Linked DNA regions of Coturnix japonica. The protein of the gene in region 2 purifies or fractionates together with the protein of the main gene of each other region. This does not show direct contact. Links are inferred from orthologs where the notes say so. Each region holds a gene or a part of one and is shown on either strand. Other genes may lie near its edges. The genes, in order: ARPC2, ARPC5L, ARPC1A, CAPZB, ACTR3 and ARPC3.

The links.
Region 1: the proteins of ARPC5L (region 2) and ARPC2 fractionate together in Homo sapiens (co-fractionation; 7 studies listed by BioGRID and IntAct, with this or other methods). This does not show direct contact. The link is inferred for Coturnix japonica from reciprocal best matches to the Homo sapiens genes ARPC5L and ARPC2.
Region 3: the proteins of ARPC5L (region 2) and ARPC1A fractionate together in Homo sapiens (co-fractionation; 7 studies listed by BioGRID and IntAct, with this or other methods). This does not show direct contact. The link is inferred for Coturnix japonica from reciprocal best matches to the Homo sapiens genes ARPC5L and ARPC1A.
Region 4: the proteins of ARPC5L (region 2) and CAPZB purify together in Homo sapiens (co-immunoprecipitation; 3 studies listed by BioGRID and IntAct, with this or other methods). This does not show direct contact. The link is inferred for Coturnix japonica from reciprocal best matches to the Homo sapiens genes ARPC5L and CAPZB.
Region 5: the proteins of ARPC5L (region 2) and ACTR3 purify together in Homo sapiens (affinity purification with mass spectrometry; 6 studies listed by BioGRID and IntAct, counting the BioPlex papers as one, with this or other methods). This does not show direct contact. The link is inferred for Coturnix japonica from reciprocal best matches to the Homo sapiens genes ARPC5L and ACTR3.
Region 6: the proteins of ARPC5L (region 2) and ARPC3 purify together in Homo sapiens (affinity purification with mass spectrometry; 7 studies listed by BioGRID and IntAct, counting the BioPlex papers as one, with this or other methods). This does not show direct contact. The link is inferred for Coturnix japonica from reciprocal best matches to the Homo sapiens genes ARPC5L and ARPC3.

Annotation. Positions count from the first base shown.
Region 1 is NC_029522.1:24,164,316-24,169,511, reverse strand, and holds the start of ARPC2 (actin-related protein 2/3 complex subunit 2), read right to left. Parts: upstream 3,278-5,196; 5' UTR 3,152-3,277; coding exon 3,078-3,151; intron 1-3,077. Other genes in the region: C-X-C chemokine receptor type 1-like, read left to right, coding at 3,376-3,865, 4,460-5,196. UniProt on the Homo sapiens protein: Actin-binding component of the Arp2/3 complex, a multiprotein complex that mediates actin polymerization upon stimulation by nucleation-promoting factor (NPF).
Region 2 is NC_029532.1:8,068,849-8,073,893, forward strand, and holds the start of ARPC5L (actin-related protein 2/3 complex subunit 5-like protein), read right to left. Parts: upstream 3,242-5,045; 5' UTR 3,194-3,241; coding exon 3,054-3,193; intron 2,634-3,053; coding exon 2,561-2,633; intron 2,042-2,560; coding exon 1,865-2,041; intron 131-1,864; coding exon 68-130; 3' UTR 1-67. Other genes in the region: PPP6C (serine/threonine-protein phosphatase 6 catalytic subunit), read right to left, coding at 3,676-3,924, 4,750-4,959. UniProt on the Homo sapiens protein: May function as component of the Arp2/3 complex which is involved in regulation of actin polymerization and together with an activating nucleation-promoting factor (NPF) mediates the formation of branched actin networks.
Region 3 is NC_029529.1:4,391,820-4,397,154, reverse strand, and holds the start of ARPC1A (actin-related protein 2/3 complex subunit 1A), read right to left. Parts: upstream 3,266-5,335; 5' UTR 3,133-3,265; intron 2,745-3,132; exon of another isoform or gene 2,643-2,744; intron 2,337-2,642; exon of another isoform or gene 1,424-2,336; intron 454-1,423; 5' UTR 436-453; coding exon 372-435; intron 1-371. UniProt on the Homo sapiens protein: Probably functions as a component of the Arp2/3 complex which is involved in regulation of actin polymerization and together with an activating nucleation-promoting factor (NPF) mediates the formation of branched actin networks.
Region 4 is NC_029536.1:4,083,563-4,088,142, forward strand, and holds part of CAPZB (F-actin-capping protein subunit beta), read right to left. Parts: intron 4,425-4,580; coding exon 4,283-4,424; intron 3,751-4,282; coding exon 3,634-3,750; intron 1-3,633. UniProt on the Homo sapiens protein: F-actin-capping proteins bind in a Ca(2+)-independent manner to the fast growing ends of actin filaments (barbed end) thereby blocking the exchange of subunits at these ends.
Region 5 is NC_029522.1:26,861,197-26,865,123, forward strand, and holds the end of ACTR3 (actin-related protein 3), read right to left. Parts: intron 3,648-3,927; coding exon 3,555-3,647; intron 3,048-3,554; coding exon 2,922-3,047; intron 2,302-2,921; coding exon 2,218-2,301; intron 1,839-2,217; coding exon 1,743-1,838; 3' UTR 932-1,742; downstream 1-931. UniProt on the Homo sapiens protein: ATP-binding component of the Arp2/3 complex, a multiprotein complex that mediates actin polymerization upon stimulation by nucleation-promoting factor (NPF).
Region 6 is NC_029530.1:4,512,785-4,517,833, forward strand, and holds the start of ARPC3 (actin-related protein 2/3 complex subunit 3), read left to right. Parts: upstream 1-1,782; 5' UTR 1,783-1,911; coding exon 1,912-1,917; intron 1,918-2,663; coding exon 2,664-2,763; intron 2,764-3,606; coding exon 3,607-3,683; intron 3,684-3,830; coding exon 3,831-3,899; intron 3,900-4,119; coding exon 4,120-4,246; intron 4,247-4,642; coding exon 4,643-4,737; intron 4,738-5,031; coding exon 5,032-5,049. Other genes in the region: GPN3 (GPN-loop GTPase 3), read left to right, coding at 184-312, 668-730. UniProt on the Homo sapiens protein: Component of the Arp2/3 complex, a multiprotein complex that mediates actin polymerization upon stimulation by nucleation-promoting factor (NPF).

The DNA.
Region 1 (5,196 bases), on a different chromosome or scaffold from region 2:
AGCTGCAGGCACACAGATATTAGAATATCTCGCTCCAGAGGAGGGGGGGGGAAAAAAAACCTCATGAAAGGAGTGGGGGGAATATTTCAAAGCTTCGAGCTTCCAGCTCTGAGCAGAGCCTGCAGATCACCGAGTTGATGCACTGTTGGATGAGAGTGAGCCAGATTCAGTGACAGACTGCAGGCTCTCGCTCCAGAAAGGTCACCCCAATAAAAAAATTATGAGCAATGTCTAAAATTATCCAAAGCTGTTCCTCCCCCCCTCTCTCCCCAGGCCCCACTCGACTAACAAAAGCTACTTTGCGTGAGCTGTAAGCGTGCATGAAATCAAAGAGCTCCCACAGCACGCCTGCCACAAACTTGAGAAGCACTTTGCTGTGCGGTAATGGAAGTCCCCATGTGTGCTGACCCACAGCATTGCTGGGACCCCAGCTTCCACTGTCAGCACGGCAGCCAGTCTGCAGGCTCTGCTGATATCTGCTCTTGTCTTGCACCAAACGCGGCAGCTGCAGGAGGTGCTGCTGATCCTGCACCGAACCCCAAAGTGCAAACATCACCTGAACGCTTCTCACCTGCTCCAGGATTGGCCATTCTGCAGATGCTGGGCTGCCTGAGCTCCTCCATCCCTGTGCTGTCCCCAGCTACCCCACAAGGAAGTCACTCCCAGGCAGCACTGGCAGCACAAAGTTCGTATCACCCACCTTCACCCAGCAAGGCCAGAGCACTCCACTGCAGAGCAGGTGAGCACCACAGGGACCACAAATGGGAAATACCACAGAGGATGTGGATGCAGTTGCAGCCAAACTCTCCAAGCAGCCTACAGGAACTGGTTTACAGCACAGAAGTTGAAGCTTCAGCTGTTTTCCCATTCAACCAGCACTCATGAAACCCTGCAAATTTGCCCCTATTGAAAGCTTTACAGAAACCTAACATTGAATGAGATATGTTTCCCCTCCACCTCCAACCAAGGGAAAAATCACACTGTTCTCCACCTATGCAATTTCTTCTCCTGCACAGCAGGTAAACAGTAAGTACCAATTTGAGACAGATGATTAATTAGCTTGCCCTAAACTGCCAGCAATGTAAGGCTGAAGAACCATACCTAAGAACACAAGCCCTCTGCTACAGTTTGGCTGGGATCAGAGTGGACCAAAACTGGAGGGCAAATCTGTTTTGGGGGGGTAGTTCTCTGCTGTGCTTTAAAAAGAAGTGAACACAGGAGACAGAAATGTTTTACCTTGAAAATAGGTTATTGTTCCCAGGTATTCCCCCACTTCAGCACTTTGACAGACTAATCTTTCAGCTCAGGGAGCTGCTGGATCCATGGCACAGTCACAGAAGGAGAGGGAAGTGCCCACATCATGGAGCAAGTTTAGATAAACTGTGCATCACATCTGCACAATTCAAGTTGCAGGGCAGATAACTCAGGGTCAGCTCACAGTGACTTACTCCTCTCAATCACTTAATCCCTTGGAGTGTGTCCTTGCCCTGACCACCCTGGGTCCATCCCCAGGACACATCTTGGGTTGACGGTCACCCAAACAGAGCAAATCCCCTCCTGCCTTCAAGCTCAATGCCACAGGATGACCCTGGAACACCAGCTGGATGGAAAAGAAATATCTCATGAATAAACATGGCATGGCATAGCACCAGTACCCAAAAAGACTTGTTCAGAGAAGTAGATTTCCATTTTCCTTGGTTTCATCTCTGACCTTCATCCATGCCTTGTTCTTTCCTGGACAGCAGAACAGCACAAGCACAGAAGAAAATGCAGAAGTGAATTACTTCCTCCCCTCCAGCAACATTCTGAGGGTGCAACACTCATCCAGAAGGAGCACTTAGCTGGTCTTCTATGCAAAAGAAAGGACGGCCCATAGAACAAGAGGCAGAATATCATTGGCCACACTCACAGCAAATTGATCCAGGAAGGATTGGTATGCCAGGCAAGCACGCTGAGGCAGTAACAAGCTTTGCTGTACAGCAAAATGGAAACATTGTAGATTGGAGGTGAGTGAGTAACCTCAGCTCTAGCTGCACTGAGTCAGGGCTTTGAGCTGCACTCAGTCTCCTGATGGCTGCATCCTCCATTCACTGCTGCTGCTGCACTTGGACTGATGCAGGGACACGCACACAGGCTCCCACCAGCAGAACGCCTCCATATGAGCTTGTGGTGAACGAGTGTTTTTTGACACACACTATTAACCTCCAGATACTTCAGGTTTTTTTCCTAATGGAAAATGCAGCACCCAAGAGCTCTCTCCTCCCAGTGTGGTGCTTTGGGGATATGTTGCACTAAATAATCACATGAAGAGGCTGATGGCAGGGAAGAGAGCAGCGTGGTGATCCCACAAGGCAGCACAGTGGGAGCTGTGGGAGCACAGGTGAAGGTAATTCAGCTGTGCTCCTGGAAGGGGTGGAGCTTGACTCCACGTCTCCTAGATCCCATTTAAGGGCTGACCACCACTAAGGCAGCATCTCTTTCTGGAGATTGCATGGCTGCAGATAAGGGCATTCACGTGAGATGACTGTCTCAAGCTGAACTATGCTCAGACAATATCTTCCCAGCACTGAAGCGCTGCTGTCAGTAACACTCAGTGGCTCCCCGGGGACTATATGATCCAGACCAAAGATACAGGTGCAGATCAACTGCCCTACAACCTCCACAAAGCCAAGATGCTCAGCAGCCCTATGCCAGCAGCCAGGACAAGCGGATCCTCTGACCCTGCCAACACCTCCCATCCCAATGGCACACCCCAACACCACAAGCTCCATCACTCTCACCTAATCCCAGCCCTAAGCACCCCATGGAGCCTGGCCTCACACAATCTTCCATTCATCCACTCAGTCCCACCACCTCAGCCCCCTCCACCCTTGCCGGCCCCACCCCATGTCCCCATTGCCCTGTCATACCTCACACCCAAGGCCCAGCTCGGTGCCACCCGCCCCTCCCACGCCTCTCCCATAGACATTATCCCTTAGCTCCTTATCCCCCTCCCCTCCCTCAGGCCTCACTAGGCCGCAACGCTTCCTCCTCCGCCCCGCCCCGGCCTCATTCACCGACCCATCTCCCTGCCCTACCCGGCGGCCGCGCCCTCGAACTTCAACGTGAGGGTCTCTTCGATGATACGGTTGTTGACCTCGAGCAGGATCATGTCGGTACCGGGGTTGGGGAACCGGCTCTCAGCGCTCCGAGGCCGGAGGGAGCCGAGCCCGCTGCGCGCACCGGGGACCCGCCCGAGCCTGCGCCGCCGCTTCCGCTCTCGAGCCCGCGCGTCACTTCCGGGCTCGTCCCGCCCCCCCCCAACACACACCGCCTACATGATGGGGGTCGGGAGTGAATGTGGGGTGTGAAGGGGGAATGGTGGGGTGAGCCGGAATGGGGACTGCCTACATGTGGGGTGATGGAGTCCCTGTGTGGGATGATGGAGTCCCTATGTGTGATGATGGAGTCCCTACAGTGCCCCCCCAGCGTTATACTAATGATGTGAGAGCGCCCCAGGATAATATGGGGTGTCCCCGGAGCACCCATAGGGATGGGGTGAAGCCCCATGGCCAGCAGAGCCCCACGAACCCCCCCCAGCCGTGCAAAGCGGGTGTGCTGTGCCCTGGGCTGGGGGTGCAGGGAAGGTGTCCCCTCTGCTGCCGCTTCCTCTTCGTGCTGCAGAAGGTTTTGCAACCTTGCTTCCTCCCTGCGCTGCATAAAGCGGCAGTGCCAGCTCTGAGCCTGGCTCACTTGGTGCAGGTGTGGGACCTGCTGGCACGTCCCCGTGCTCCCCAGGGTCTCCGTTTTGGGGTAACATCCCGTGGCAGACCTCAGCCGGGCTTGGAGCTGGGAAGGGGAGAAGATTTGGGGTGCAGCAGAGGCGGTGAGTGCGTGGGATGCTTGGCTATGGGGTGCCATGGGGCACCCTGCTTACCTGGGCAAGGGGTGCAGGGAGGGCTCTGCATAGCATAATCTGAGCTCCACGTAGGGTAACCCCAACCCTGGGGGGAGCTGATGTCCCCAAGTAGTTTTCTGCGTGGGGTCCAGGGAGGAAATGGAGACTTCCCCTTCTGTGGGCAGAAATCTGTCCCCATAGGAACTGCAGGGAATTTGGGTGGGGAATCGGAAGGAGAAGCCAAAAATATAGTGGGGAGAAGCGTGTTTCCTCTGCTCTGGGTACTGTGGTGCACTCGGGGAGCTGGTGTGAGAAGGGTTTTTGGGGAGGACATCAGGATTCAAAGGACTCACACCAACCGGAGGGACTCAGGAGGGATCCTTCATTGGGGCTGAACCTGGAGGGGACAGTGCTGAGGTGAAGCAGTCCACACGGGGCTGTTGGGCAGGAGGACGTATGGGGATAGTTTTCAGGCATGAGCCTGTTCATTGTATGGTGTGGTGAGGTTATGGGGTGTGGGAGAGCAATGGGGGCTGGAAGTGCTGGATGTGCCCTGAGCCCACGTTGCTTTGTGCTTTGCAGGCAAAATGGGGACATTTTACGCCGATGAACTCTTCGATATCTTATACAACTACACTTCTGACTATGGCAACTACAGCCTGGTTCTGCCTGACATCGATGTCTCCTCTTCCCCATGCCGTAATGAAGGTTCTGTAGCCAACAAATACTTCGTAGCCTTCATCTACTGCTTGGTCTTCCTCCTCAGCATGGTGGGCAACGGGCTGGTGGTGCTGGTGGTCACCTCCAGCCACATGAACCGCTCCGTCACCGACATCTACCTGCTCAACCTGGCTGTGGCCGACCTGCTCTTTGCCCTCAGCCTGCCGCTCTGGGCTGCCTACTGGGCCCACGAGTGGGTTTTTGGCACCGTCATGTGCAAAGCCATCTCGGTGCTGCAGGAATCCAACTTCTACAGCGGCATCCTGCTGTTGGCTTGCATCAGCGTGGACCGCTACTTGGCCATCGTCTACGCCACCCGCGCTGCCACTGAGAAGAGACACTGGGTGAAGTTTGTCTGCGTGGGCATCTGGGTGTTCTCGGTGCTGCTCTCCCTGCCTGTGCTGCTGTTCCGCGAGGCGTTTGTCTCAGACCGCAATGGCACAGTTTGCTACGAGCGCATTGGAAATGAGAATACCACCAAGTGGAGGGTGGTGCTGCGGGTGCTGCCGCAGACCTTTGGCTTTGCCTTGCCGCTCCTGGTCATGCTCTTCTGCTACGGTGTCACCGTGCACACCCTCCTGCAGACCAAGAACGTCCAG
Region 2 (5,045 bases):
ATCACTTCAGCTACTTCCTTCTTCTGGGTCCAAAACTGATGGTTGTCTTGCTTCGAGTTAATAGTCTTTAAACAGTCTTTCTTGCTGTAAGAACTCTTACTATGGAACCTAGTCCACCTGCTGCTAATGCCTGTGGGGTGGGAGAAGGAGACAAGATCAGTTCTACAGTCACACACGGCTTACGATGAAACCTTCATTGTTCTTAGCAGCCTGCAGGGCTGGCAGTGGTTCTGCTGGTACAACTTGTGTGTTCCGTCACACAAAGCGCACGCTGTATTTGTTAACTCCTAAGCAATGTTTTATGCTAATTGCTACAACCAGAGCATCAGTTCTCAAGTTGTTCCACCCCTCTGTACCTGTGCAGGTACCTTCTGCACTGCTAAAACCTTCAGCTTCCTGCAGTAACAAGTTCTACATTCACACACTTATTCCTTTGCCACATTTCAGCTCCTTGCCTGTTCCTGTCTTGGGCCATGAACTCGGGAGCTCTATGCCCCCTGTCCTCTCTGAACGTACAGATGAGCTCCTTCTTTGACCCAGGTTTTTGCAGTACATACACAGCGCTACTCTCTAAACATGCTATAAATCTAAGAAGCAAGGAAATGAAGGGTGGACAAAACAGCTCATTGTAACACATCCCACCACATCTGAAGGCTAAAGTACACAAAACCTTATGAACTGACTTGCATCTAGTGAAGGACACCGATGATGCAGAATACCTTACACTCCTGCTCCTGAATGGGGAAAGGAGGAAGGGCTTAGTCTGGTTTCATTTGCATCCTTAATAAAAATGAAACATTCTTCTAAAGTCTAGGAGGAGATGCATGTAAGTGAGGGCCGCAGAGGAGCTGCTCAGATTAGACCTGACGGATGCAGAAATGGCATCAGGCCCTTCCAGGGGCCAGGCAGGTGCTGCTGAGCTGCTGCCCACAGTCAGAGTGAGCTGCACGTCCTGCCTGCACTGCTGGAAAGCAGAACACAAAGCTCTAAGCAGCTCCCTGCACACTGCACAACTGCAGCTTTCCTTTGAAAACAAAGGGGAAGAGATGCTTGCACGTGTCTACGTGTTCTGAGCAGTGACTTCTTTCCAGTCAGGGCAGTCTTGTGTAATGTTACGTACTGGGAGTATCAACCTACGGTGACCCAAAAAGAGCCTCCAGTAGGAAGAACAACACAAAATGTCAAGCACAAACATGTTCCTTCCTGTGCAATTTCCTCCCCCTCCTGCCTATCGATATTCTGCAAGGCTGGGGACAGCTGCCAGGAGCTGGAGTCACCATTGCACAACTTGTTTTAACTCATCACAAGGAAGCACGCCCTGTGCAAATGACCGGCCAGCAGCCAGCTGTGAGCACAGCACATACAGCCCCCCTCGCTGCGACCCTGCCACAGAAACGCCACTAAGTGCCACTGAGGCATCAAAGCCTTTACTGTGCAAACTGAGCAGGTTTGCTATAACTGGTCAGCTCGGATGTACTTCAGCACAGCGTTTCACTGACAAAAAGCATCACATCTGAGCCATCCTGGGCACCCCATGAGCCAAAGGCACCTTCAATCAATCAATCAATCAATCTCACCTCCACTCCCAGCTGCTGCTCCTTGTGGGGGAAACCACCACCAGACACAAGTCATAAACCTTCCTGCAGCTGACGCTGCTCTGCCACACCCACCCCTCCCATCCCTCCAGGCTGAGGAGAGCTCTGAAGTACCACAGAAACTCCATACGCCCAACACCAAGAGGCCAAGAACAAAAGGCAGCACCGAGCTCTGCTCCTCAGGGAGGATCCCCCTCATCGCACACCTCCCCATCCAGGAGGTCCTGAAAGCACCGACAGTGACAACAGAGCCCAGAGCAAACACTCACCTTTTCATGCCATTGGAGTAATATTGCACTGCTATTTTCTGTCGGCTTTTCAAATCCTTTATAAATATACTTCATTAACAAGTCAATCCCGTTTCTGTCTAAGGAGTTCACCGCTTGTTCAATTTCACTGCTCTTAAAAGACGTGAGGACTCTGAGCATGGTGCCCTGCGCCTGCTCCTGCACAGGAAGGAAAACGGCATTAGGATCAGCAAAGCTGGATGTGACCCCAAGTGCAGCAAAGCACTCGGAGCAGCGGCTGCGCTGATGGTGTGAAGATGCAGCAGCCAAACAGGAGGAAGTTTTACACTTTAAGTTTCAGTAGTGAGAAGGAAGAAGAGCAGAGAGCTTTAAAACTGGACTTGTTGGTGTTCCCACCTGGGGGGAACCACCTGAACTGCACTGCAGAACAAACCTACAGCCCGAGAACAACGAACAACGTCCGGCTCCTGCAGCACAAGATCCCCTGGGCTGTGCTCTGTGCTCCCTCTCAGCCCCCGGCTGCTGCCGGCCGCGTTTCCCCACAGCACGGGCCGCTCCCCGGGCACACAGCAGCACCGGGCCGTCCTACAGCAGCACCGCGACACCCGCACACAAACCGCAGCGCCGTCCTTCAAGAGCAGACGGACGGGAGGTGCCATGGAGCACAAGGTCAGCGCCGGGGGCGCCGCTCGTTACCGGTCCCGGGGCCGCACTCACCTTCATGGCCGCGCTGCGCGTCTGTGCGGGGTTGTTCCTTAGGGCCGCGTGCAGCGCGCGCAGCGCTTCGCCTCTACGGCGAGAGTCAAGGAGCAACGGCGGCACCGGGAGCACCGGGACGGAGCGATAAGGGGAGGGGGCAGGGGAGGAGGGCGCTGCAAAGCGGGTACCTGAACTACGGCCACACAACGGCAGCGGGGAGGGACGGGACCGGGGGCAGCACGGAGGGCAGCACCAAGCAGCACCGAGCAGCACCGGGCAGCACCGGGCAGCACCGAGCGGCACCGGGCGATACCGGGCAGCACCGGGCGATACCAGCCAGCACCGGGCAGTACCGGGCAGTACGGGGCAGTACCGAGCAGTACCGAGCAGTACCGGGCGATACCGGGCAGCACCGGGCAGTACCGAGCAGCCTCAGGCCGCGCTCCCGCCCCGCAAACCTTCCCGAGGCCCCGCGGGCAGCGCTCGGTGGCCGTGCCGCCATGAAGGATACTGCCTCAGCAGCGCCTCCACCTCGGGGCTCGCGTCGGGTTCGGCCGCCGCCGCCTCCTCGGGCTCCTCCACGAAGCGGTTCTCGTCGTACTGATCGATGTCCAGGCGGCGGAAGCGGGACGAGAGCGTGCTCCGCGCCATGCCGACGGAACCGGAACCGTCGGAACCGGAACCTCCCCCGCCGCTCCGCCGGAACCGGAAGCGCGGAGCCCGCCCCGCCCGGAGCAGGAAGGAGCGGAGCGGAGTGCGCCCCCCCGTCCCGTCCCGTCCCGTCCCGTCCCGTCCGGCGCCACGGAGCGACACGGCGCTGAAAAACCACAACGAGCCTTTAATTACAAAGTGGGCGGCGGCACCAACGGCCGCGGAACTTTGCTGCTGAAATCTCGTACATCTACGGGAGACGAACGGAGCCGCACGGAGCACCGGGAGCAGCCGAACGGCGCCGCTCAGCGGAGAAACGAACAACGAGCGGTTCGGATCCGCACAAATGGATCCGGGGGAGGGCGGGGAAACGGCTGCGCAGCGCAATGACAACGAACGGCGATAAGTTAAAGATAAAAGGCAGAGGCGGCATCTCAGCAGCAAAGTGCTCAATAAAAAGTATATTGTAGGGCGGGGGCGGCTCAGAGGAAGTAGGGGGTGGTTGTCCGGGGAGGGATCACCCGCTCTGAGTCTGGGACGGCGCGGAACAGCCTCGGTTCTCTCGTATTTACGTCCTGGAAGACCATGATGGAAGCGATGTTCCCGCAGCGATAGCAGTAATTGGGAGCTGACCACACCGTTACCAACTTCTCGTCAAACATGAATTTGTAGCCTTCGTGAACCAGCTGATGTGCTCTGCAGATGAGCTTCAGGTTGTTGATGTGGACAAACTGCAAAGAAAAGTGGCGTGTCACAGCTCTGTGCGTGGCCGCGCAGCAGCTGCTGCCCAGCAGAGCTCCTCAGCGCTGTGTGGGCCCAGCTCCGGGCTCAGCTCTGGGCTCTGCAGCGCTGACAGCACTGACCCACCCGGGAGGTTTTCCCAAGGCCTCTGAGAGGTGCAGGCTGTGCTAAGGACACTCCCTGTGTCCCTGTGCTCCCAGCACAGCTCTGCGGCCCCAGCCATGTGTGCCCAGCACCCCCACAGAGCTGGGACTGAGCTGATGGTGCTGGGAGCAAACCGCTCCTGTCAGAGCACAGAGGGCAACTTTGGGCTTTGAAACCTGAACAGTGAGAAACACTCCTGCCTGTGACAGCCGTGGTGCCTAGGCCTGCACTGCCCACGCCTTTCAATCCCTCCTGAATATGCTGCAGAGGAGCAGAGAACAACACACTGCATGAGGCAGGGATTCATCTTAGGGCCGGTTCAGAAGCCTGGGAAGTTCAGTGGGTCTGAGCCTCTTACTATGTTGCAAAGTAACAAAAATTAAGTCAAAGCTAGTATTTCTTCTTCCAAATCATTAGACAAGTATTCTACACAAAGCCTAGTAATTCTAGTTAGTCTCACTGCATTACACTTTTTAAACACAAGGTGTGCATTATCTCACTTGGCACTTTATGAGGGGAAAAGAGTATGTCACGAGAAAACCTCCCTCACCTCCACACCAACTCAGTCCCCTCACAAGGGAAGTTCCTTAATCCACTCGTCACTACAGTAAAGTCAAACACTTCATCTCACACCTGCAATTATGGGACGCAGCACAGGACGGCATCGTTACCTCATTTGTCACCTTAGCACCAAACAGCCAACCCGCCCCTCGCGGACTGATGGCCCACGTATCCACATCTTCTGGATCAGACCAAACCAGGTCACAGAAGGCGCCTTTATGAGGAATTTCTTGATTACGTTCAATGGTGCGAATCTGATCGAGTGTCTTGATGTCCGGAGACAATCCACCGTGCACACAGAGAATCTGCTCATCTATTAGCTGGAGAGAAAAAGGAACACAAAGAATGCTCAGTATTTCAACCAAACCAAGAACCTCTCCAGCACCACCCTCACCACCACCAATTC
Region 3 (5,335 bases), on a different chromosome or scaffold from region 2:
AAAGACAGTGCATTTAGAATATAACTATCCTTCTTCAGTAGAAGACTATATATAAAAAGAAAAGGCTGGGTTTGGGGCTGGGAAATAAGAGGTTAAAGAGTATGAGATAAGTCATGTTCTCATGAAGTAAAGACCAAGGCAAGACTTTCTGGAGCTCCACTAAGACTGGGTTTGCTCACATGTCAAAGTTTCAAAAGAGGGTCTAAAAATCAAAACCAGATTTAGGAATGTAATGTGCTTTTTGGGTTATAAGTGCAGCGTTATGTATTTGACCACATCTTTCTTGAATGTGGTCCAGAAGGTTTCAAGATGATCCGATTGACAGCACAGAGAAAAGAGCGGTTGAAAAAGTAAATGAAAAGGTTACTTACGAGTACGGTCTCTGTTCCATGCATGGCAGGTGATTGGCTCCAATAAGAACTGATGTAGAGACATTCCGAGTTAAAGATATTCCTATGTTGTAAAAGTTGGGGGGGGGGAAAAAAAACGTAAAGATGTAAAAATGACAACAAAGCACTTCAAAGTTGAACAGTTATAAAAACAAATCGGTCTTGAACATCTACAAAGGCTGCTTCAGTCCACTATGATGATCTATCTACTGTGCATGTGTCATTGTAATTAAGACCTTTCCCTGTGTGCCCCAAGATCTTTAGTAGGTCAATGAATTGCTCTAAAAGGTGTATGCACTTGTTTCTTCCTGTATCCTCATAAGAGGAAACAGGTTCTTATGAAATTAACACACCTAAGAATTTAACTGGGGAATTAGAATACTTAAATAAGAAATTCAGTGATGTCTCAGTGAACTGATTTGACATTCTGGTGTGTATTGTAGTGCTGTGAGCCTCAATGAAGCCTTTTTCTTTTCCATCCATCAGGAGGTTAAGCTGATGTGCTCAGATGTGACTGTAATCTGCTGATGTGTTGCTTGATAAAACTACTTATGTGTATCCCAGGGAAAAACTACTAACATCAGTAATTAATTACTAATTCCTTCAAATTAATCCTAACAATTAATTGCTTTATGGCTTCCATCCTTATGAGACTCAAACAGTAAAAGATCAAATTGAATTCTTTGGGTTTGTGAATGCTTTGTTTCATACAAAGTGAGACACCCAGTTTTTTCTTTTCTCTTATGAAAGAGACAGTGCAAACAGGTGACTGCGAAGCTGTTTAATATATCAGATCTTATTTCTGTGTCCTGTGTTAATCAAGGACAGCATAAACGGATGGAAGGTAGCACTGTAACAACTCAAGGTCACCTGCAACAGCTGCAATGTGCACAGCTCAACACACACAACTTGGATTTGTCCATTTCTTCCTCCTTTCACATATTAAACAAACTTTTGTAGCAATTTATCCATGGCTGATGGCACGTTGTCGGTCTGCCCCACTGCATACATCTAAAAAGCACCATCTCTGTGATGTCACTCCAAGACATCCACACCCATCGCAGCCTGAAATTACAACATAGCCAAGTATGGCCATGTTAGCAGAGGGTGGAGACTTCAGGACAAGGTAGGAATTTGGAAGCAAACAGGAAATGAACGGCAGTCCCACAGAAACTCAGGAGTGAATGAGAGATGAGTAACCCCTTACAGAGCTGAGCACTCCCCTGCTTTAAGAAATATGCCTAAAGTCCTGAGTAGAGATGATGCAGCACTGTTCATATATATATATATATAGTAATCTATATTATATATGAAAGCCATGATCTGCAGTGTCATTAAATGTACTCAAAGCTCATTTAGCTGAACTTCATTTTAAGTCCAGTTCATAATTGTAACTGTTCTAATTTTCTTCTAATAATCATATGCTAAAGATCACATAAAGCTGCTATTTGAGTACAGCCCTCAGAAGAATAATTACTTATTTTTATTAATGTGAGAGAACTGCCATGATCCAAGTTACCTCTGACCTTGGGCAGCTATGGTGTGAGATTCCATGCATTAACATAAGCAAAACATCACAGCAAATTGCTTTTTCCCCAGTCTTGCTTTAATACATGCCAGCAATTCAGTAGCAGTGCATTTCCATATACAAGAAAAGCTGACGAGCTCTTCTACCAACAGGGAATGCTCAGCCTTTTTGATTCTTTCCAAATACAAAGTAAAACTATCCAATCTCTGCTGCCTGAAGAATGCAGCTATTTCTAATGCAGTCCTCGTGCTTTCTGCACAGATTGGCTCCCTGTACAAACACTGCTGTCCCATCCTAACAGCTCCTAGTTCAGAGATTGTTTTGCTCACTAACCTACAGGCTGTTCCCAAAGCTTACAGCTGGACAAGGGACATGATGCATCCTCATCCTTCTCAAGCACCACAACTCACAGCAAGCAGGTAATGTTCATTAAGAAAGAACAGTGATGACAATCTCAAAGAGCACAAATATTTGCCATCTGATCGTTGCAATATTATTTCCTTTGGGGAGATAAATACTGTTTGTAAGATCTTATGAAGATTTATTTCTTATCAGTGGCTGAATGACTTGATGTAACCAATACAGCATAAACCCCACAGTGTTCTCCTGTCTGCCAAGCTCAGGATTTAACATAGGAAAGGCACTGTCAAGGTAACTTTGTTAGGTAGATAGAGCTTCCTTTCAAATGCAAACTAATTGTCCTTGTTTCAATATTTTCTTTTAAGGGCAGGGTGCCAAAATTCCTCCTGCTCACCCACACAGCCCCTCAGAAACTCAGCCCTGAGAAGCCCAGGACTGAGCTGCTGTCACCTCTCGAGAAGCACGAGGTAAGGAGACAGCGAGGAGATGCTTCCAAATTACAGACAGTGTGAGTGTGAGAGCTGCTGTAAATCTCTGCCTATTTCCAGAGCTGCCTGTGACTGATCGCTGCCTCCCCCCGCTGTCATATCGGCCCGTTCCCGTCGGGGCGGTGGCCGCACTCAGCCGGGCGGTGCCGTCCCACACAGGTGCCCGGTGCTGAGGCCGCTGTGCGGTGCGGACAAGGACGGAGCTGCCCCGCCGCCCCCTCTCCCGGCCCACCCGCCCCTCTATGAGCACAGGGCCGGGTACGGGCCCCGCACGGCGGGCAGGCCGCGGCTGAGTGCTGCAGAGCCGCCGCCCCCTCAGCAGCTGGGCCTGAGGGCGGCCAGCCGTTCGGTCGGGGCCGGGACTCACCTGAGGCTGCGGGGGCGGAGCGGGGCTCGCGGACTCTGGGCAGTCAACGCGACTCCGCTCCGGGCGGCGGCGGCGGCCGAGGGGAGGGGTGGGAAAGGGGGGCGGCCCGGCACTGACAAGGGAGCCAGGAAACGCGCACTGCGCATGCGCGCCGCCCGCCGGCCAACCCCGCGGGATGCGCATGCGCCATGCTGACGGGGAGGGGGGTGTCGGGGCGTGACGGGAAGGCGTTGTGCGCATGCGCGGGGGGGAGGGAGGAATGTGCCGCACACAAAGGCGGCGGGCGGGTTGGGGGCGCATGCGCAGTGTGGGGATGTGGCACAGATGGGGGGGGCTTCACGTTGTGTGTGAGGGGGTCTATAGGTGTAAGAGGGCTCTATGGCTGTGTGAGGGGGTCTATAGGTGTAGAGGTCTATGGGCTGTTGTTGAGGGGTCTATAGCTGTGTTGAGGGGCTCCTATAGGTGCTGAGAGGGGAAGTTATAGTAAGAGTGTAAAGAGGCGTCTTTGTGCTGGCTTGTGAGGGGGGTCTATAGGTGTGAGAGGGCTCTATGGCTGTGTGAGGGGGGGGTCTATAGGTGTAAGAGGGGTCTATGGCTGTGTGAAGGGGGTCTATAGGTGTAAGAGGGGTCTATGGCTGTGTGAGGGGGGTCTATAGGTGTAAGAGGGCTCTATGGCTGTGTGAGGGGGGCATGCTGTGCCTCGGTGGATGGAGGGAGCAAGGCAAGCTGTGTCCAGCATGGTAGAGCTGGTTGGGGTACAATGTACTTGGTGTCAGCGCTTGTCTGGGGAAATACCTTCGGTCCATTATTCATTTATAATGAAACAGCCCCTGTAATTGCTGTGTTTGGAGATGGGGTCAAGTCTGAGCTTGTATTAATGCACTGTCAGAGGGCTAGAATGCAAAGAGGGGAACTCAATGGGAAAAAGCATCAGGTAGTACTGTGTGCTTATAACTGTGGGGCTGGTTGTATTGGTGTTAGGAAAGGCAGCTGTGTGTTATAGGAAGGGATGGAGGAGCTGCTGTGGGCTGCAAGCTGAATAGCAATGTCCTGCTGTTAGAGCAGTGAATGCCATGCAGGTCTGTATAGTGCTAATAGGATACAGGCATCCTGCCATGCTGAGCTGTGCTAAAACGGTGTGTCCAGTGCTGGGCTCCATGTGAGCAAAATGTGTGTGATTTAGAGGAAAAAGGGTAAAAATAATGCTCAGTCTTTGAACACATGACTGTTACAGAGCTGGAGGGAACAGAGCCACAGACGTAAGTCTTCAAATAGATAAAAGGATGCTGCCATGAGGGAAGGGACGATTTGTTCTCTCATGTCCATTGGGGGTAGTAGGGTGAGGAGCCATAAGCTAAAGTAGCAGGCAGATGACTAGGCAACATGGAGGCTTTTCTTAGAGGTTTTAAGAATAGATCAGACAAATATTTCTCACAATGGGTGAAGTACAATGGAAGGTCTTTCATTCAGGAAGGAGACTTTGCTTAATGGGCTCCTAAACCGGTGCTGCTGTGGTTCTTCAGCCCTGAGATACGTAATGGCTGCAGCCCTTATTGGCTTAACGATAAAACTAGTTCAGCTGCACAGATTAAGGATGCTCAACTAGGCCAAGTAACGTTACATAACGGGAATGAAATTGACTTTAAGCATGGCTTTATGTTTTCAAAACCATTTTCAGCAGATGGGGTGAAAGTATCTAAATGAGGAACTCTGCAGAGCTTTTAAGCATTAAAGGCTTCATCTTCAGCATAGCTTTCCAGAGTACGTTCCACCTTTGTTCCTGTGGTATTGCTGGTGCAATTTAACTGTGGTAATCCAGAAAGGATGCCAATGTTTTGGAGATTAAGGCCTTGCAAGCCAAATCAAACTGATTGTAATAAAAGTAGTATAGTAGTATGACCTTAGGATATACTTGGGGGGGGGGAGGCCAGGAGGAGCTGGGACATTGTTTTGTATGCAAGGGCATACAGTTGGTAACAGCTACTCAAAAAGTAAGATGCTATGTAACAAAAGGGTATTTGCAGATAACAGTGCTTAGTTTGAGAGGCCTTTGAGATGTGTGTTATTCATCTCACTACTGGAAAACGTAGCAATTCCTGACACTGAGCATTATATCATATCTGATGCTTAAAAGGGGGACACATGAAAGGTCATATTTTCCTAATTGCATCCTCTGCAGTCCTAGAACTGCCATTTAGGTCAC
Region 4 (4,580 bases), on a different chromosome or scaffold from region 2:
ATTATGATAAATGGCAGAATGTCTCTGTTGGTGCTTTACTGAGCAGTAATATATCACAGAGCACATCTTCCTGTGCGCAGGAAAAGCTCAGATTGCAGCAGACCAGCCTTCATCCAGCTCTGCAAAACGTTCCACCTTTGCTACAGAGTATTTCAAGCACGAAAATCAACACACATCTGCGCTGCTTTAATCTGAAATCCCAGGCTTCGCTTCCTCTACAACTTTATATCCTCCCCTTCCCATACCTCCAGATGTAAATAAACTCCAGGTTTGGAGCCAACGTCTTCCTCAGTGGACTGGCACTTCCTCACAATGCTCACCCAGGCTTAGTAAACACAGACGGGTTCTTTGTGCACAGCAGGAGCTCAGCAAGGCACCTGTTGGCCTTGCTCTTAAGGAGGGGGGCTCCAGAAAGCTGTTCAACAAAGTGCACATTTGATTGTTTGCCAGAAAGCTGGAAGGTTTCTTTCTACTTTGCATAAAATGAAACAGGACCATAGAATTGCTCTGAGTGAAATTAAAGCGCAGCCTGATGCAAGCACAAAGCATGGTCAAAGCAGCACGGTACCGTGGTGGACAGCACAAGTAATTGCAACACACACTGAGGATGGGACCTTAATGTCTGTCAGACAGAGAATCATGTGCCAAGCATCTGGCTCGAATCAGGATGGGGTGGGAGCTACCTGCTGCCATTGGAGTGTGTGCATGGTAACCAAAAAGCTGCTGGCATTTTTCATTCCCCTGTAAGCACCACTCCTTGTTGCAAACCGAAGGCGGTGTGTCCTGTCCTTTCCTCTCCTCTCAGACGTACAGCACTTCAATCTGTGGCCCCTCATTGACGCAGACAGCACAGAACATGCCGAGTTCCTTTCCAAATTCCAGCCTCGCTCCCTGTATTTATTGAAGCCTGCCAGTGTCAGATGTGAGCTGGGAGCTGCTTCCTCCATCCTGGCTGTGGTGCAGCAGCTCTGCGCTCTCTTGAACAGCATCCAGGCTTGTCCCCAGAACACAAGCTGCCTGGAGAGCACTCTAGTTGCAGGAACAGGCCTCTATCTGACTTTTCTTGCCTTCTGGGGCAAGACAGTAGCAATGGATATTGAATGTACAAAGCGAAAGCCTGAAGTTCTCATTTAGAAAACCATCAGGCTAAGTGAAGCTACACAAAGAGCTTCAGCCTCCCAAACCAGGACAAGCTCCTCAGTGTCTCACATCTCTCCCTCCTTATTCTGTCTACTTACAAACATAAAATGCTCTAGTCTCCCATTCCAAACAAAGAGACAAAACTAAAGGAGACACAGGACAGGGAAATGACTTCTGAGTAATAACTACCCAGAACAGAACTTGACATGGCCCCAGGTCAGGTATAATACTGAGATACACAGCATCTGGGGACAAGGCAGAGGAAAAAAAGGTTTTAGTCTTAAGAAATCTCTGCAACATTCAAGAAGAGCCTAAACAGGAGGATTTTAGGCTCTTACTTTCATATCCTTCCACAGTACCGTGCTGTCCGCTCATAGAACAAACAGGACTGCCTGACTGCTTGCACCCTGTGTCATCTGCAAACATCAGGACGGGGAATTACTGAGCAAGTGTTTCCATTTGAAGCTACAAATGCTCCCCATAGCATTTCAATGCGAGCCATGCCCAGCTCTTGGAAGCTGCCAGAGGTGGTGAATTAGGAGGCATTACATGAGCTGTTCCTTTGCGCCTGCTGCTGGCCACCAACTTAATCATTCCAGTCATCACTCGAAAAATACCCGATTTGCAGCTCGGAGGTGAAACTGGTTTCAAAGTAATGGCTCTCAACAGACTTCCCTTTCCAAGCACTGAAAGGTTCTCCCTGCCATCAGCATTTAAGCCAGGATATTACGAAACTTGTGAACACTTCAAAAGCCTGCACTGAAACACAAGGACATCTGCTGTTTGCATTTTAGGATCAAAGGTGGTCAAGTAGCTTCAATGTTGAGTTGACCAAAAACATGAACAATCTACTCTAGATAAAGGCACTTTGTAATGACGGTCAGAACAGCTTACTGATGCTGTCAGACAGTGACGTGTCATTCACATGATAACTACAACCTACTGTCAGTGTATGAGCTCACTGTAGACTGTATGAAAAGCCCAGCAAGAAGCAAAAATAGAACTGCTGTCCCATTAAGCGTATGGTGGCATCTGCAAAGCAGAGCTCTCCAGCCCAAAGCTAAATGCTAAAACTCAAGTTTCCATTGTTTGTGCAGGAGCAGTGCATCATTACCCCAGTGGCTCCTTTATGGTTACTTACATTGGAAGCAGGCCCCTGCTTTAATGCATCACATATGAATTAAATGATCTGCTGTTCAAATGATGACAGAAGCATGAATCTCCTCGCTAAAGCTGAGAGAGTGAAAGTCAAACTAAACAAGGCCTAGGAGTTCAGGCCAAGGTGTACTGAGGACACCCATCCTCAACAGACTCTTGTTTTCCTTGGCATATCTCTCACACACCATAAGTCCATGGCCAGAGTCAAGCCCTTGGCGTCCACTTCACAGCTATGATTTAAAGTATTAGGAAGGCCTGTGATTAAATATTTGTCCGGGTCACCATAACTCGAGTGTAATTACTGCAAACATTCTAAAAGAGTACGCAATGCTCAAAAACCATCTCCAGATGCTTCTTTTTCCCCTTCCTGTTATTTCTCCTATCAGTTTCTTCTGTAAGTCAACAAGGTGGAAAGAAAAATCACCCAGGTCTAGGGCAAGCTTCCATGTCTGCAAGAGTAACACAATTCAGTTCCTCCCGATGATCGTAGACCCTTTGTTCCCTTGCCTGACTCAAACCTGTACAAAACCACAGGCTACTTAACAGAGTCTGCATTGTCCTTTGTATCGAAAGCAACAGGCTGCCCTGGGAAGTCTCATAAAGGAGTTTTAGCAACTGCCAATCTCTCTAGTCACTCATGACCACACAATATGCCTCCTGTCCCCTGAGTTTATTACTCTTTTCGTGTCACTGACTTCCACAACCCAGATCTTAAACAACCCCAATTCATGCAGTACAGAGACAGCAACCTCTGGCAGGTGGCTGGGGCAGAGGCACCTTCAGGCAATGCACTCAGCTCTGCCAGAGCCTTTGACAGCAGTGCAGCCTAACAGTCACCATTCTGGCACCTTCCCTCTGAGAAATGGCTTTCTCAAGGGGAAGCCAAAGCAATTTGAGCTGGAATAAAAAGCAAATGCTTAGAAGACATGTCATTTTTTATCACTGTCCTGGTACTGCAGGACTAAAACACTAAAGAAGGATACAGGCAAATACTGAAAGCCTTTAAGAACAGAAGAACTGAAGGTCTAAGCACAATACAGGGCTGGTTGCAGTGGCCACAAATTAAAGACTTAAATGAACATCTAACCTCCTGCTGAATGTTTTGTATTTCTAATTGAAAGTTACACTGCCATCAAGCCAAATTCAAGGGGCTTCCTGGTAACCACACACTTGTGCCTTATATTCTTCAATGGAGTGCACATGCAGCACGAGAACAGACGTTGATCCAACACCTCACAAAATAAGCTTTCTGTTCCTGACTGAGGCTACCGGGTATATAAATAAGGAAAGGCATGCAGGGTCTGCAATGTGCACCGGCGCAGTATGCAGGCGTACCTGTCTGGTAAGGCTCCCGCCAAGGTTCATGGTACCAGAACCAGTTTTATTAGTCTGCAGCCACAGCATCACTGTGGAGGTCAGCTTGTAATGAGCAGTACGGCCGCTGGATTTCTCCTGCAAAAGGGAGGAAAAAGGAAAAACACAAAAGGTTACAAACCCTCCAGATACTACACAAGGTGGCTGAGCACAGAGGCTCCACGAGTAAAAGGACAGATGCATGTAACTGCAGTTACAGGGCACAGCCTGCCTATTAAAAACAAGCACAAGTTTGCCTATTTTCCCAGTTCTCCAAAAGCAAAATCTTGCTGGAGCAATTTAACCTCCCGTTACCTCGTTTTTATTACCTAATTAGTGATATTTATCTGTAAACCTTTATGTTTCTTAAGAGGGGGGAAAAAAATCATCTCAGGATCGCGAGTACAGAAAGCAACATACCTTCAATTCTTCTGGGATTCTTTTTGATTACAGGCCTGACTTATCTCTATCCAAATTGCTTCGGGGAATTTTCAAAATTAACAGGGGAAAGAAGTTTACAGCCCCGAACACAATATTGCATTGTTCAGTGGAACACCTGTGCTCGTTAATTGTCTGGAATTAACTGGGTTTTGTTTTCACTTAGGAATATCAGCTGCCCCAGAGGCTGTACCTGAACCTCCACCACGTGGATGGAATCCCAGCATCCCTTAATCTTCTTTGATCCATCTCCAGCTTTCTTAATGAGGATCACACCGGCAAAACCATGATCCAGATCCCAGAGGTAGACAGAGGAGACTCCACCTTCGAAATACCTGCAGGATGCAATCCAATAGGCGTGTTAACAGAAAGCAGGATCCAAGCTGGAGTCAGATAATCATCTTAAATAAGCAGAACCTCTACATCTTAACAAAGATCTTTTGATTGTAAGACGGCCCAGTCTCAATGGTTAGATACCTAGAAACAAAGCA
Region 5 (3,927 bases), on a different chromosome or scaffold from region 2:
TAATGACTGCAGTGGAATTCCAGTCATTAAAGCATGATACAGTTGCAGAACCAGAGGATTGTTGGAAAAGAACTTATATTAACCTCTTTATTTTACACATATTTGCCTATGGGCCTTACCACATGAATTAGTCAGCAGCTGTGACTCAAAAAGCCATCATCTGAAAACTCTCAATGCTACACATACAAGAACTGCAGCACTGATCAGGAGAGGTTAATAGTAGTTTTGTGATACAATTATTTAGCTTTGTTGCTTGCACCAAGGTTCCACTCAAATCTAGCACGTGAATTCTTATATTTACTGTAAAAAGAGCTTTCCACGCTCACCCTTGTTTCAGAGCCTCATTAATCATCTTTTGATGTAACTGAAAGCTCTGTTAAAGAAAAAATCTTGAGCAATCTTTTCAGTTCAGGAGAAGAAACCAACAGATCTCCCTCTTGTGGTCTTCTGTGTAAACAATCTTAACTATATTAGTGAGTGTCTGAAGTAGATTTTTCTAGCAAATAGCAACAGAAAATGCAAGTAATTTCACTCAATATATGAAGCTTTCTTCCTAGAAAGAATGAGAGAGATACTGTTTTCACTTCACTTTTTATCTACATGGTATTTTCTTGCAGAAAAACCAGAGATTTCAAAGGCAGAACTGCCTCCTGTACGCCATCACTTGAAAGGAAATGGGAAACAAAAATGTTACAGAATGAAGTAGATGAACAAACCTAACGATGGAGAAGCTGTTAGATTTATATAGGTAAGTGCTGTCCAGATGAACATATAAACTGCCATTCTAACAAGTTCACACTTCAGTTTATACAATGCACATAATGATTTCTACCTTACAAGCCAATCTTACTCTTCAAAAACCATAGCAGATACGTAGGAACCCATGCTCACAACTTCCCATGTAACGACATTAACAAGTCTGACACAAACATAAAAAGAAATTTTGTGCCTTTATTGGAATGGTGTTAGGCTTTAAATACACCAATTTCGATAACCTGATTATTTGGTTTTAATTAGAAATGACACTACAGAACTGCAATACTGGTCCAAGTCTTGTCTTTCTTTCTTTCTTTTTTTTTTAAAGCAAGAGATAGAATGAAAACGCACCGAGTAATCAGAAAGCACTAGGCAGGCATCGGTTAATCCAAGATAGGAGCTTCTTAGTTCCAAAAGCAGTCGCATTGTATGGAACCCAGGATTTAGATTGGCTGTGATTTGCAACAACGAGTTGCAGGAATCACAATGACTTTTTCTGTTTTAATTTCTTTTTAAGATGGTCACTGGTAAATTCTTTTTTTCCCCTCAAATATTACAGTTTCTTTAATCCGTTTTTTTTTTTTCCTCAAAGTATAAAAAAGTAAGAAATATAAACAAACTCCAGCTTCGTACCCATGAGAGGGTACAACTGAAGCATTAGAGAGCTGACTATCTATACACTGTCAAATCCCATCAAATCTTGGATAATTCATTAATATACAAAATATCAGGGCACAGAAAGAACTAAAATCCACTTTGTTACGCACAGGTTCAAATAATCAATCTAAAGAAAAAAACGTGATCATTTTGGCTTTCCACTACATCCGCATGTTGAGACACTTATTAAAATAACCTTGTTTAATTGTGTTTGGTCTTTTCCTTATTGTCAAGTCATGTTTGTTATCTTAATACCGGCCATCAGACAAACAAGTAATCAGAAAGACTCCTCCCCACCTCCCTTTCCCTGACCCCTGCAAGGGTCAGCTTTAAGACATAACTCCAAACACTGGGTTGTGACGACAGATGCTAGGACCAATTTCTTCATAATCTTTTTTGGTATGGCATACTTGGTAGAATTCAGGCTGTAAAGGGGAAGAGAAAAAACGTCAGTGGTGTTCACACCTCAGCTTAACAATACTAACATCTATAAAGCAAATGGGAAAAGAACTGAACTTCTAAGCCCCAAAATTAACCTCATTTGTCACACGGCCAAACAACAGCATGATCAATGTATACTATCACAAACCCAAAATCACCATTAAAAAAAATATATATCATTATAAAATTAATTCAGCTTTCATTTGCTCTTCCAGATCTTTGAAGCCTAATGCAAAAGCTTAGGGGGAATGGGTTAATATTTGTTACTCAAAAATCATCAGAAAATCCCCAACTCTATTTATTATGAACTAAATGAGAGATGAGAACTCCAAAAACACATATTCAGCTTTATAGCTAACTTACTGTGGAAGCCAGCATTGATCCTCCAAACCAAACGGCATATCTTTGCATATGGTGTGTAATGACTTGTACATCAATGGGCTTAGGCTACGGAAGAAAAATATACATATATTCAAATATGTTCCTATAGGACTGTATATTCCAAGTTCGCCTCTCTCAAACTATCATTTACCTAAATGCTGGGTATGTAATTATACAATTATACTATCAGTTTTTCAGTTGTTCAACCCTGACTAAGAATAAAGTGATTTAGTAGCAAGAGCTATTTACATTATCAGACATTAAAAGCTACTTGCATTCCTGCTGGTTCCTCCTCTCTGATTACCCACCTTCTATTTTCTGCTTAAGTTCCTCAAAGCACTGTTTCTTCAATTGCAAGAAAAGACCCATAGTACTTACTCCTCTCAAAACACTTTATAGAGACATGCTTTTAAATTTGTCACTTTTTATTACTAAGATGCACTTAAAAATAGCATTGATTGAACTTGTCTAGTTATTTCAATAACTAGAAATGAGAAAATCCCTTCACTCTTGCCTAATAATAATAATAATAATAATAATAATAATAATAATAATTTCAACCTGCAGGTGTCTTATGTATTCTGAGTTACCAGAAAAAAAAATGTAAACATCAGATCATAGATCAAAAGTAGAAAGAACCCAAGTTAAGGAGATGCTTGTTAAATGTATTAGCTACAAGAACTAACCTTCAGTCTGCCGCCACTGAGTTCTTCACTAAGTTTCAGTCTGGCATCAACAGTTCTTTTCAAGTCTCGCTGTAAACGGCGCCCAAAGTCCCTGAACATGGTTGAGCCTCCAGAGAGGACAATATTCTGTTTAGAGTCAAAATAGATACATTGATTTTTAAACTGTATTCAATGTTTCTGAAAATGCACATCTCCAGCTCCATCCAGTTCTTAAATTCTAATTTTTTTTTTCCTAATCTCACTTATGTTGGCTCTTTTAAACAAATTTATAATCATACAGGTGTGCTTTTACCCTGTTTTAGATTATTTTACACCCGAAGCATGACAGAATATGAATTCTCAAAGAGGTTGTCTCATTTAAATTGTCTCTGATTTAGAATCCATATCTTATCTCATTTCTTTGGCTCAGATTTTAATTTCCACAATTTCATTACAATTTGACTTGAGCAATGAAACATCCCCTTCTGAAAAACACTTATGTGAACATACAGCCTTCTCCTTTCCAGAAAAAATGGTTTACTTTTATACTTTTAAAACACTTTCTTTCTTAATCCCAGTTTCCAGTAGATTTCAATACAAACCACCATCCTCCCAGAACAAGTACTAAAGAAACATAGCACTTCAGCTACTGACCTTATACAGAGGACGTCTAACATCAATGGGGCAATTCTGAATAACTTCATCTACTACTTCTGAGATTGGTTGCGTAAAGTCAGGATTAGCAAACTACAATCAAGAATAAAAACAGCAAAGTCAGCATGCAGAACCACATACAGAAAAGAAAGGAAGGCTAAAAATAAGGGGAAAAGAACAAACTGCCCTATTATATTGGGGCTGTAGTGAAAAAACTTATGGACTAGATAGATAAGCTGTATTTGCTGCCATTTTTAAAAGGTTTGAAAGAATATTAGACTTGAAGTATCTGTTTTGTCAGCTGTTCTCCTATATAGTTCTCACTAATCACAACAGATCAAAGAATACATGCACTTCCATATCACAAGCACTG
Region 6 (5,049 bases), on a different chromosome or scaffold from region 2:
GCTTTATTGACTGGGTAGAACTTTGGACTGATAGCCAGGAATTCAGAGTGGAGAATTGCCATTAACGTGCAGCATAGCTTTAAGCAGCCTTAGATTTTCCTTGTCCAGACTGCTGAGCAGCAATGATGCGATGAGAAAATGTAGTGTATTTCCCTACTGATGTCTTTTGAATCCTTGCTGTAGATTGATGACTATGGTATGGTTCGATTTCTACCTTTTGATCGCTCCGATGAGGAAAGTATAAACATAGTTCTGCAGCACATAGACACTACCATCCAGTATGGAGAAGATCTTGAATTCAAAGAACCGAAGGTAAGATATTTCTGAAGATAAGATGAAAAATTAGAAAGGATCCACAATAGAAATCATAATATAATCATGTTATTTCAATGTTAAAGGTTGGAAAAGATGATTGTATGCCACTAAGATCTTCTTAAAAATTCAGTTTCCTACTCTCAGGATATGCAAAATAACCACACCTGGATTTTGATGTATACATATGGGAGAGCTTTAGAAACAAACTGCTGTTCAGGAAGTTTTGCTACTTGTTTTATAGAACTGCACTGGACATTGTTGTGCTTATTAAAATAAAGCATTGCAGAACTGACAGCATCCAACAGTCACTAGAGAAAAGTCAGGTATTACGTTTTCTGTTTTCTTGTTGCAGGAATATGAAGAAGATAAATCTGCACTCGTGGATGAGTATTTTCAAGATCACGTGAATGAGTAAAAAGCAGATGCTGGAAAAGAGGAAGAAAATGCATCGCTTGTGTGTTTTAAAGAAAGCAAAAACCATCCACCTCCACACAAACATATTTATGTGATGTTTTGCCTTTAAGATAACTAACATCGCTAGTGAGAAGTGAGCTATATGACGGTGTATACGACAGAATATAGTGAGCTGTATTACTGTTAATAGTTCTTTTGTAAATACAGAATGTTCCTGGACTCTCGAACGTTCTCAAAATATCTTTTATTATTATTTCTCCTAAAATATATTAATCCAATTTATTAGCTAATTTCAGCTGAATTGGAGGATGCTTTTCTTCTAGTCATATCCAAGTATTTATAAACCTTTCCTTGATCCTAAGGAACGAGTTTTATTAATGATTATTGAATAAAAGTGTTTTCTAAAAAGGGCCTTGTGGTGACGTAAAGCTTAATATCAGTAAATGCTCATATATAGGCGTGTCATCTTTTTCTATGTATTATATAGTTCCCAGGATTTGAGCCTATGTGTAGAAGAGCAGCACTTCTACCACTTGCGCCACAGGGGGGATTCAAACCCAGTAGAATAAGAGCATCTAATGTCATTTTGTTGGAGCGGCTTGGTAAACCAAACCAATGATTGAATACTTTGAGGCAGTGGCAGTTATCTAAACCTGAGGATATGACACAGCTACTCCCAGCCCTGGACAGTTAGGTGAGAGTTCAGGGTAGTCATTGCCATAACCAGAAAGAGGTTAGAATTAGAGAACACAGCTTTTGGGGACGCAGCTTTTTAAGGACTCCTTGCAGCCGCCTTTTCCTCCAGGCTGAACAGCCCATCTCCCTCAGCCCATCCTCACAGCAGAGGTGCCCTTTGCTCACGGAAAGGAGAAACCCAGCCCTTCAGCTTCAAATCTCCCCATTTTTTCGGCCTGACTCAAGTGACGAGGAGGTGGAGGGGGGGCAAAAGGGGGGCAAATGGGGCACTCTGCCTCACAAGGACAACAGTTCCCTCAGACCCAGCGCGTAATGGGGGGGGGTCAGTTCTGTGCTTCCCCATCAGGGAGCGGCTCCTCGGGGCGGTACGGGCTGTGGCTTCCCCCTGTCGCACCGCCCCGCTGCCTCATTTCCTGAAGGAAGAGGAAGATTTGCTACGAGCTCAGCGCCGCTGCCGTCGCACCGAGCTGCGCCCTGCCCTTCGCCATGCCGGTGAGCGGAGCGGGGCAGGGGGAGGGAAGGGGCAGGGCGGGCGCTGAGCGCCAGGGACGGACTGGGGGCGGATGAAAGGGGGGCTGTAGCCGGGAGCCTCGCACTGATGAGCGGATCGGTGTGGAGGGACCTGCCGCCTTCCTCTTTTCTTCCCCTTTTTTTTTTATCCCGTTCTGACCTCACAGAGTCAGCCCCCCCCCCCCCCCCGTGGCACCCAGCCGGGCGGCAGGAGTGCATCTGGGGGAACCGCACCACAAGGCCACACCAGAAAGTAGCACATCCCAGTGCTTCTTATTCACTTACATCAGTTTTAATGCACAGAAAGGCCTTTTGTGTGTGTATGTGATAAGCCTGGTTTTGGTTATTATTTAGATACTGACAGGCTGCTCTCAGCTCTCCCCACAGCCCTCTCCAGGCTGCACAGCCCCATCTCTCTCAGCCTGTGCTCTTCCACCACCACTGACAAATGGTTCCAATAAATGCTTTTGTGCTCATCGCTGGAATGGTGCTGAGTTGCAGAAGGCCTAAGTAAGAAATGACCATTGTTTGTGCAAGGAAAGGTTCCTGGAAGCACCACAGAATCACAGAATTATCAAGGTTGGAAAAGACCTAGAAGATCATCCAGTCCAACCATCACCAATACTTCCCAGTTAAATCATATCCCTAACAAACCAAACTCTGTTTTAACAGGATAAAGGAAGGGCAATATTCTGCAGGAATAATAAGCAGTCTTCCCTTGTCTCTAGGCTTACCATTCAACTTTAATGGACTCGGATACCAAGCTAGTGGGGAACATGGCACTGTTACCCATCAGAAGCCAGTTCAAAGGCCCAGCACCTCGAGAAAGTAAGTTTATAAGAATATAAGTGGTGCCAACTAGAAAAAATGATGATCCCATGGCTGTTATCTGGCACGGCTCTGGGTAATTCAGCTGCTTTAGCAATTAACACTGCCTACAGATAGTATTTTCACACTTCCTCCTGTGCCTCTTTTCAGCAGGCTGTGAGGATGTGGTGCTATTAACCCTTTGCTGTCAGAGGAAGTGGAGGTTTAGCTGCAGAACTCAGCTTTGGTGCAATAGCTGAGGATGCTTAACTGTGGCAATTCGGTTTGAAAAAGGAAATATTTCAGAATTCAAGCATGTTTGTAAAAGAAAGTGAAAGCTGCAGGTCAACCTGCCACTATGTAATCTACCCTTCCTCTTCTTTTTTTCAGGAGAATAATGAGGAAGGTTGTTTGATTGTGGTGTTAATTTCTCCCAAATATATTTTTGGGCCCTCAGAAAGAGTTTTAACAGTATATTCTATATACTGTTGCATATATATTATATTCTATACTGTTATACATATTAATATACATATATTAATATGTTCTATACTGTTAAAACTCTGGTGAGTCACTCAACTGGTAGGATATACCAAAGAACTGCCAACCTGCTGCCCTTTGTGAAGTCATGGGAAAAGAAGGGAGTTAAAAGTCCTACTAAGAGTAAGAAACTTAAATGGTTTGGTCAGAGATCACCAGTCTTTCACACGGGTAAAATTTACCATAGTCCTCTGCTTCTTGTAAATGATTTTGCTTTTGCAAGAAACACTGTTTGTGTACTTCAACATGTAAAAGTTATGACCAAATGTGTAGCAATGCACTGCTTAATTTTGGTTTTCTTTCATTTTCTTTCTTTTGCTTTAGCTAAAGATACAGATATTATAGATGAAGCCATCTACTACTTCAAAGCCAACGTTTTCTTCAAAAATTATGAAATTAAGGTATTTTTTTTCTGCAATAATTCCTTTCCTATGAGGAAATTGCTGGCACAAATGCCATGAACTCGTTCCTATTTCAAACTGTTAGCAGTTCCATGAAGTCCCTTGTAGTCTAACAGACCGGGCTCTGTGCTTACTCTTGTTTTGCAGAACGAGGCTGACAGAACACTGATCTACGTAACTCTCTACATTTCTGAGTGCTTGAAAAAGCTGCAAAAGGTAAGGAGGGAAACAGTCTGTTCTGGGGATTATACTCAGGAGAGTATTTGCTGGTATTCATCTCCTAAAGGCACAGCAGACTCTGTTCACTGCAACCCCAGTTTACAGAACCACAAAACAAATACTTGAGGCTGTGGTTTTGCAGGGACACTGCACTGCTGTTCTTGATAAGTCTTAATGGTTTAGGGATTGTAATCAATTGTTTGGTTGGTTCTTTCAGTGCAACTCTAAAGGCCAAGGAGAGAAAGAGATGTACACGCTAGGAATCACTAATTTCCCAATCCCTGGGGAACCTGGCTTTCCACTTAATGCCATTTATGCCAAACCTACCAACAAGCAAGAGGAAGGTAAGACTTAACAAAGACCCCTAAAGACTTGCTTTGGTCCAAGCTTTACCAGCTGTGTTTTTGCAGTTACAACTAGAAAACTTCTAGCTCTGTTTTCTGAGGTCTTCTGATCTTATAACTGCTAGATAGATTCTGTAACAGAGCTCAAGCTAACTCCTACACTGGCAGAGAGGAAACCCATAATGATGGGCAAAGGCTTAGCTGAAAGAAGAAAACAATTGAGATATGTTTTACTCATACAAATATAACAAATCCAAGTATGGCTGTAAAATGAACAGCCAGCAAGGGCCTACAGATGTGAGAGCTCACATTTCTTGCTGTAGGCAGTGATGTCCGCTGCCTTCACACTCAGTTTAGTTTGCCTTAATGCTACTTTGTCCTTGTGCTGTATTTCAGAGGTGATGAGAGCATACTTGCAGCAGCTCAGGCAAGAAACTGGCCTTCGACTTTGTGAAAAAGTATTTGATCCTCAGAGTGACAAGCCCAGTAAGGTAAGGATTTGGCCTAATGATCACAGATTCAATGAGAGGCTTGGTTGCTTTCTCCAAAAGATGGAGATGCATGAATTACATCCTGGTCTTGTATTTCATGTGCAAATATATTTGCATTTCATCATGAAAATTATTCAAGCTAATTTAGTTCCAAAGGCATAGCTTTCTGATGTTCATTATTACACTGCAATAAATATATTGGAATTGGTATTAAACCTACTTTTAAGTCACTATTTCATTTATAAGATAGAAACATCTCTTGCCTGTTTTCTAACTGTGTGCTTTCTTCTGCAGTGGTGGATCTGCTTTGTG